Caenorhabditis elegans: one gene and its partner. The main gene of each other region encodes a partner of the protein of the gene in region 2 in a complex. Each region holds a gene or a part of one and is shown on either strand. Other genes may lie near its edges.

Evidence for each region.
Region 1: mdt-18 (region 2) and rgr-1 share a complex: the UniProt entries of both Caenorhabditis elegans proteins name them as parts of the mediator complex.

The regions. Positions count from the first base shown.
Region 1 is NC_003281.10:9,392,384-9,396,137, forward strand, and holds the start of rgr-1 (Mediator of RNA polymerase II transcription subunit 14), read left to right. Parts: upstream 1-1,720; coding exon 1,721-1,864; intron 1,865-1,915; coding exon 1,916-2,996; intron 2,997-3,093; coding exon 3,094-3,694; intron 3,695-3,754. Other genes in the region: gpr-2 (G-protein regulator 2), read right to left, coding at 1-457, 511-758. UniProt on the Caenorhabditis elegans protein: Component of the Mediator complex, a coactivator involved in the regulated transcription of nearly all RNA polymerase II-dependent genes.
Region 2 is NC_003279.8:6,492,255-6,495,892, reverse strand, and holds mdt-18 (Mediator of RNA polymerase II transcription subunit 18), read left to right. Parts: upstream 1-2,045; 5' UTR 2,046-2,061; coding exon 2,062-2,106; exon of another isoform or gene 2,107-2,148; coding exon 2,149-2,223; intron 2,224-2,276; coding exon 2,277-2,392; intron 2,393-2,445; coding exon 2,446-2,510; intron 2,511-2,561; coding exon 2,562-2,848; intron 2,849-2,897; coding exon 2,898-3,008; 3' UTR 3,009-3,071; downstream 3,072-3,638. Other genes in the region: uri-1 (Unconventional prefoldin RPB5 interactor), read right to left, coding at 1-346, 404-1,249, 1,293-1,406, 1,532-1,564; dbr-1 (Lariat debranching enzyme), read left to right, coding at 3,167-3,340, 3,464-3,638. UniProt on the Caenorhabditis elegans protein: Component of the Mediator complex, a coactivator involved in the regulated transcription of nearly all RNA polymerase II-dependent genes.

The DNA.
Region 1 (3,754 bases), on a different chromosome or scaffold from region 2:
GAGAGCCTTGTCGTAATAGGCGATGTGAACTGCTTCAAACTGGTCTGTTTTGATGGCAAAATCGATGCATTCTTGATACTTGCGACGCGATTCCTCGTATTTTTCGTCGAGTGACAAGCATTTCGCCTCAATTAGCATAATTTTGGTCTCAGACACAGCTCCTTCCGTATTATTCTCGTTGAACAATTTCACGGCTGCAATCTGTTCAGCACATATTGACAAAAGCTTCTTCTTCTCATCTTGATTACTCTCGACGTCTCTTTCACATCCTTCGAGGCACACGGAAGCGAACAAAATTCGAGCTTGACCGATATACTTCTCTCCGTTCTTCTTATTGCTGGTGTAATCAATGAGATCCTCAGCAAACCGTCGAGCCTTGGAGAACTTTTCCATTTTGAGTGCCTGCTGGACGATGCGACGTGTGGAATCACATGCTTCTGGGTAGTTGAAGATCAATCTGAAAAATTAAAGTTATAGAATGCCCAGCCCATTTCCGTTTAATTCACTTACTTGAACATGTTCAACTCATGTTCGAAAAACTCCAAGGCCTTGGCGTCGTGGTTCAAATGCCTGCACACTCTTCCGTAATACATGTAGATTGTACCAAGCAGTTGAAAATTGGAGGTTCCGAACTCCATTGTGTCCTCTAAGCGTCCTTTTCCATCCTCGTATTGTCCCAATTTCATGGCCGTCACCGCGCTTTTCAGCATTGCTTCGATGACTTCATCCTTAGGGCCATCATAATAAGAGACGTCCATTCGTTTTGCGAATGTGGAAACTTCTGAAATAAATCGAAAATTGCGAGCAAAAATAAAAAAATAGAGGAATTTTACGCAAACAGACAAAAATTTCACGCGGATCTGCACGAATACACGAAATATTTAAAACGGGGAAAGTTTCTTCAAATATCTCACGAGGTTTAATAGACTATTACACATTTTGTTTAAAATTTTACAATTTTTCAATAAAACAACCGCTGAAAAACAAATAAACTTGAACAATGACTCGAGAATCTCTGTGGGGAAGTGAAACTTGGCGGTTAACGCGTTGTTTTTTCGCGCGCTCTCAACTTCTAATTTAGCGCCGCTTTCTGATATGTCGTCAAATGTGTTGCCGATGTACGCAAGTACACCATCACGCGCATTTGCACACTCAGTGGAGTTTGCAAACAAATTTTCAAAAATAAATTAAATACTGTTTATTGTTTAATTTTATGCATATTTGTACAATTTGAATGTTATAGTTTGATTAAAACTATTCGAAACATGTAAATAAACTTTAAATTTGTAAATGTGTCGCTTCCCAGACCGTATATTGTGTATTCTTCAAATAAATATGTATTTCGCAGAAACTGTCTTCCCAACTCCGAGCCGCACTGGCGGATAATTCGCCGGCTGCTCCAATATCACCGGCTCCATCTGGCTCGGCCTTGTCACTCGATGAGTCGTCTGGAATTTCAGACCGCGATGTACATTCTTCTCAGGAACAAACGGCACATCTCTCCGAAGTCGATGTAAAATCGATTCATTCATCGGATAGCGAAGATGGTATGCTGCAGTAGAACAAGGAAGATATTTATTTTCTATAATTTCCAGAACCAGCGCAAAATCCCTTACCAGAAGTTCCTGCAAATTGTGGCCCTCCGACGATACCTCTAAATGTTCTATTAGACTTTGCAATTCAACATGTTTACCACGAGATCACAGTTCTTGCGGAATTGATGCAGCGGAAGACAAATGATCAAGGAGAGCAGGAGCGGAAAATGTCTCTTGTACATTTTGCACACGCTACTCGCAGTCAATTTTTGAAACTTGTAGCATTAGTAAAATGGATACGGATTTCGAAGCGAATGGATGTTTGTTATGTAAGCTTAATTCGCTCGATTTCGATCGAAAAAAAAACATTAATTTTCCAGTCTATCGACTACCTTCTCGATCTCCAATCACAATATTTCATCGACACGGCCGATCGATTAGTCGCAATGACTAGGGGAGATCTCGAATTAGCTCGTCTTCCAGAATACCATATTGCGCCAGCTATTGATGTTCTTGTATTAGGAACGTATAATCGAATGCCATCGAAAATCAAAGAAGCTTTCATTCCTCCAGCAAAGATCACACCGAGAGAACAGAAACTCGTCACTTCCCGATTAAATCAGCTCATTGAAAGTCGGCTTTCTCGACTTTCAAGCGGAATCCCACCAAATATAAAAGAAATTCACATCAACAATGGACTTGCAACTTTACTGGTTCCTGGAGAGTTTGAAATCAAGATTACATTGCTCGGTGAAACAGAAATGACAAAGTGGACTCTATTGAATATCAAAATTCTCGTGGAAGACTACGAACTTGGAATGGGACTTCCTCTTGTACATCCATTACAGCTTAATCAGCTTCATGGAGTACTGCAATCTCGGATGAATGTTTCCTTAAATCCTATTAAAGAAGCTTTCTCCTTTTTGCACAGTTTCTGTGTTTCACTACAATTGGATGTTTTGTTTTGTCAAACTTCAAGATTGGCAGCTGGAAGGTTACGTGATAACATTACAATCGAAAAGTATGACCCAAAAGAACGAGTTTTGGTAGTTGGATACTGGGTTAAAAGATCGAAGAGTCGAAGATTAACTGTAGGACAAGTCAAATGTGATGCACAATACAGAGTTCAGATCTATGAAGATCCAAATGACAAGCTAGGTGGACTTAAAGTTCGTCATTTCCCTCATGCTCCTCAGCTCGGACGACTTGATTCTGGAGCTGGAATGTTGTCAATTGATCGACTATTATCAGAAACATATGTGGTCAGATGTAAGGAACGATTGATGCGGTTGAGAAGAATCCTTGAAGCTGCTGAACCAAGATTAGAAGTGAAGATGACTGGAATCTCTGCACCGTCACTTTCTCTTGCTCTCCTACCGGATACCTCTTCAAAGGATGAAATGATGACGGTATCTGTGAATTCATTCTGTGGAAAAGTGCTCTGCAACGTTCACATTCTCAGTGAGTTGTGTCGTTTCAAATTCCAGCATATTAATTTTAAAAAAATACTCTATTTTTTACCAAAATTATAAAAGAAATAAACTTATTCATATTTCAGGTGCTGAACACGAAGATGTCCTGGCTTTTGGAAAAGCTCTCTACAGTAGTCAATGTTCAGCGCACACAATTCAAATGTATCTTAGAAAACTTCGTGTCGCCCTCGTGATAGAACGATATCGACGATCAGTGAAAGCTCTTCCAGTTCGTGAAGTTCAAGAAGCTGAGCTTCTTCCATTTGCAAAGGAATGTCTTGGTGATGCTCCTGCCCAACGAATTATTCTTCAGTTCCTTCGATCTGAAGACTATTATCTGCTTGTCACATTCTCTCCCGATGAAAAAGCAGTTGTTAAGACTCACATTCAACTTTTGGAAGTTGTTGGAGACCGAGCTCAGTTCATTCAGTTGGAGGATGATGAGATGAATGGAATGCATGTAAAAGAAGCGATTAATCAAGGAACGATGCGTTTCTCGCCATCTCATAAAACATCACTTCAAGAAGAGTGTTCGAGAGAGCAGAGACTTGCATTTGCAGTGGCTACTGTAGAAGATCGGATCACGTACATGTATCTGGCGGCTGAATTAATGAAAAAGGGAATTGGAGTTGATGTGAGAAAAGATTCAGCACACGTTCCAGGAGGGCTTGCTCTACATATCACGGAGTAAGTTTTTTTCTAGATTTCGAGCACTTATATTAAAAATTGAGCAGCAGCGTCAAGAAA
Region 2 (3,638 bases):
AATTTCTATGCCTGGAAGCTCTGAATTTGGAAACTTTTTTCTCGGTGATGACGGGAGCGGGGTCTCTGCTTGTCGACGGCTCACACTCGTACGGATTCTTCTCAACAATTTCTCCTGGAAATGTCATTGTGCTCATCGCAGCAAGTTCCTTTTGCTCGGGTTCGAGAGCTGAACGATCAACGGGTGTTGGTTCAGTGCTCCGGAGAATTGATTTGGTTTCAATAACTGAATCTTCTTCCTTGATTTCGACAGTGTCTGTTTGATGGAATGTTTTCACATTTTCAAGCTGTTGCGCAAATCGAACTCCCGATTTTTTCCGTTTGACGGTGGTTTTTGTTACGGTTTCCTAAAAATTGTGTGTTAAAATAATAGTGAATTGTTTCTATTTAGTATTTGAAATTACCTCAACAATTTCTTCGACCTTAATCACTTGGGTCTCTATCTTTTTGGATTTCAGTTGTTGGTCAGAATTATTGCTTTTCTCGATATTATCATCAGATGCATAATCATCAGAGTCGAGTTCTTCTACACTATTGTTAAGATTCTCTTCATCATCGTCTCCTTCCTCTTCATCTTCATCATACTCCTCATCGGAACTCTCTTCATCACAAGTGTCTAAGAAATCTAACAGCCGTTCCATTTCCTTCTGTGTTACTCCAGGTTGTGCCAGCAAACGTTCATTCATTCCAAATCTTAGTTTTTTATCAGTTGGATCTTGTTCAACTTCCTCAACTTCCTCTAATTTACCCAAATCCTGTAAATCTTCGTTTGAAACTTCAAAAGGTTTCGGAATTGGAGCTTCTTCCATCTCATCATTGTCTTGTTCCAGTTTCTCTAGTTCTTCCAAACGGTTCATCACATCGTTGTGATCTTGGTCACCATTCAATTTGTTCTTTTCTATTATCTTCTCGTTCTGTTCATCATTTTGAGACATCTTTTTGTTTTTGCGATTTTGATAAAACAGTTTTTCCATCTCTTCATCGTATTTCTCGACAATTTCGATAGGTCCTCCATCAATCGAAACAGATGAGAAATTATCTTGAGCAAACTTTATTTTGTCATCCAACATTCGAATTGAATCGAGACCTTCCTCACGCTGCCTTCTCATTTCAGAAACTCTCCGATCCAAGATCTTTTCAGCTGTATGAATGCTGCATTCTCCGTAATAGTTTGCACCCATTTCCATCGTAACTTGATTCGTGCGAACTACATGGGCACCGCAGAAATAACCGACTTCGCAAATTTTCGCCTAAAAATTAGAATAAGATTATATGAGAGAGAATGTAATTTACCAAAATAGGAGCTTCCAACTTTTTCGAATATTCCTTTGCTCGTTCCAGAACTTTTTCATAGTTATCAGCAATGATTCTTCGACATTCGGTCTCAACTTCGAGCCGAGCTTTAGCCTGAAAAATTAAATTCATACAGACTTAATTATTTTTATACTATTTTAGGGAAACAAACTCGGAATTTAAAAACGAATTATTTTTGTCTTGTCGTTCATAATCATGTAAAAGGATTTTTAATTTACCGCATTGCATTCTGCAACGTAGAGTTCGCTCATTTTTTCAGATAGGTCTTCTTCACTCGTCACAGTCATTTTCTGCAAATCTTAGAGAGGTAATTCGGAGCGGAAAATGGGAAAAAATGTTAAAAAGTAACAATTTCCGAAAGCGCAATTTAAAAAAGTACAAAAAAGTACAAACTTTTATGGAGACACTACTGATTTCTGGAATCTGTTAAATCTTAGAAATGAACTCTTTCAGAATTTCAAACTTCTTTTTTTATATGCGTAAAACTTATCGCATATATTTTATGCAATATTGAAAGTAAGTAGAGTTTTAACCATTAAAGTAACTGAAACCAGAGTTTTATCGTAAAAATGGTAAAATATTCGGGAGTGTTGGTTTCCCTGGAAATGAGTCACGTAGAGTGTGAGTCCGCAAACACCAGCTGTGAATTGCGTAGAATACATTTAATATCACGCTCAAATAGTTTTGAATTAATTTAATTTTTTAAAAACATTTTTTATTCTGTTTATTTAGTTGATTCATTCAAAATATGGACAATTTAGTGGATATTGATGAAGATGGAACACAAGAAAAGGTATTTCGATTGTTAAAATCCATCTAAAACATTTTAATTCAGCTTTCTGTGAATTCAACTCCCTATCAAACACAAGAATGCGTTCTTTATGGATCTATTTTCGCAAAAAATGTCCCAGTTAGTTTTTAAAGTAATTGGACTAAATTCTAATACAAAAGTTTCAACTTTAGGACTTGGAACGACGTTTAGCCGGCCTTTGTGATCCGGGATGTGAGGAATTCTTCGAGCATGAGATGTCATTCAGCCTACGATCTTCGGGTATAATGGATATCAAAACCGATATTAAGTAAGCTTTTTTGTTTATCTATTTAAATATTTGCATGTATTTGATTTTTGAAGATTGCGAAGAAGATTCCGAACAGAACATCGAATTCAAAATTATTGGCAATTAAAGTACATTGGAGGTCGGTTTTAACCTTATAATTCGTATTTTATAATTTTTTGTTTTATTTCAGTTCCGGAACCAGATCAAAAATGCCCAACTATTGTTCGAAAAGAAATCAGTTCACTTGTCCATTCTCAGGATATGATGACGTATGCGAAATCCTTGGGTCTCCGCATGGACTATGAATATATGACACAAGGAAAATTGTGGACAAAAGGAAATATAAAGATTCTGCACTCAATATTGACTAGTACTTCTCGCGCAGGAACATATGATTCAAATTCAATCAAATCTGTTTCTGATTCTGCGTTAGTGGAAATCAGTATCTCATTGCCCGAGTCTGCAGAATACATGCCGGTAGGTTTTTTAGTAATAATTTCGAATTTATTTTTTCAACTCATTTTAGGCTGCCAAGTCTCTTCGTGATTTTGCCGATCAGCTGATGCCACTTGTTAATATGGAAAAAGTCGATTACTGGAAGAAAATGTTCCCAGCTCAAGCAGCTCCTCGTCGTTAATCTTCATTAATTGATTGATCTCACTTTGATACGTTATTTAATTTATAAAATTCACGAAGTATTCAATAATGTTAATATCCCACAAAGCTTCAATGGTTTATACCTTTTATTTTCTGATATCAACATTAAACATTTTTTTACTCCAATGAAAATTTAGAATGTCATCGAAAAATCCAGTAGATGAGCAACCTTGCTGTGGCTCCCATGAAGGTTCGCATCAAGATCCTGCTCCGGAGACGTTAGTAGTTGAAAAAGAAGTTAACAATGGGGAAAAGAAAATACGAATTGCTGTTGTCGGATGCTCTCACGGAGAAATGGATGCTATTTATGAGGTAAAATTTAAAAAAAAATCATATTTTTCGAACAAAATTAATGGCATATTTCAGATCTATTTTCTCTATTAGATTGTTTTAATTGCTATTTAAAATTACAACTATTTAAAAAAAATATTTCAGACAATGACACTAATCGAACAGAAAAATGGCTACAAATTCGATTTGCTGATCTGTTGTGGCGATTATCAAGCTGTCCGAAACTACGGCGACCTTCCACATATGAGTATTCCACCAAAGTACAGAAGTCTTCAAACATTCTATAAATACTATTCTGGAGAACAAAAAGCACCAGTTC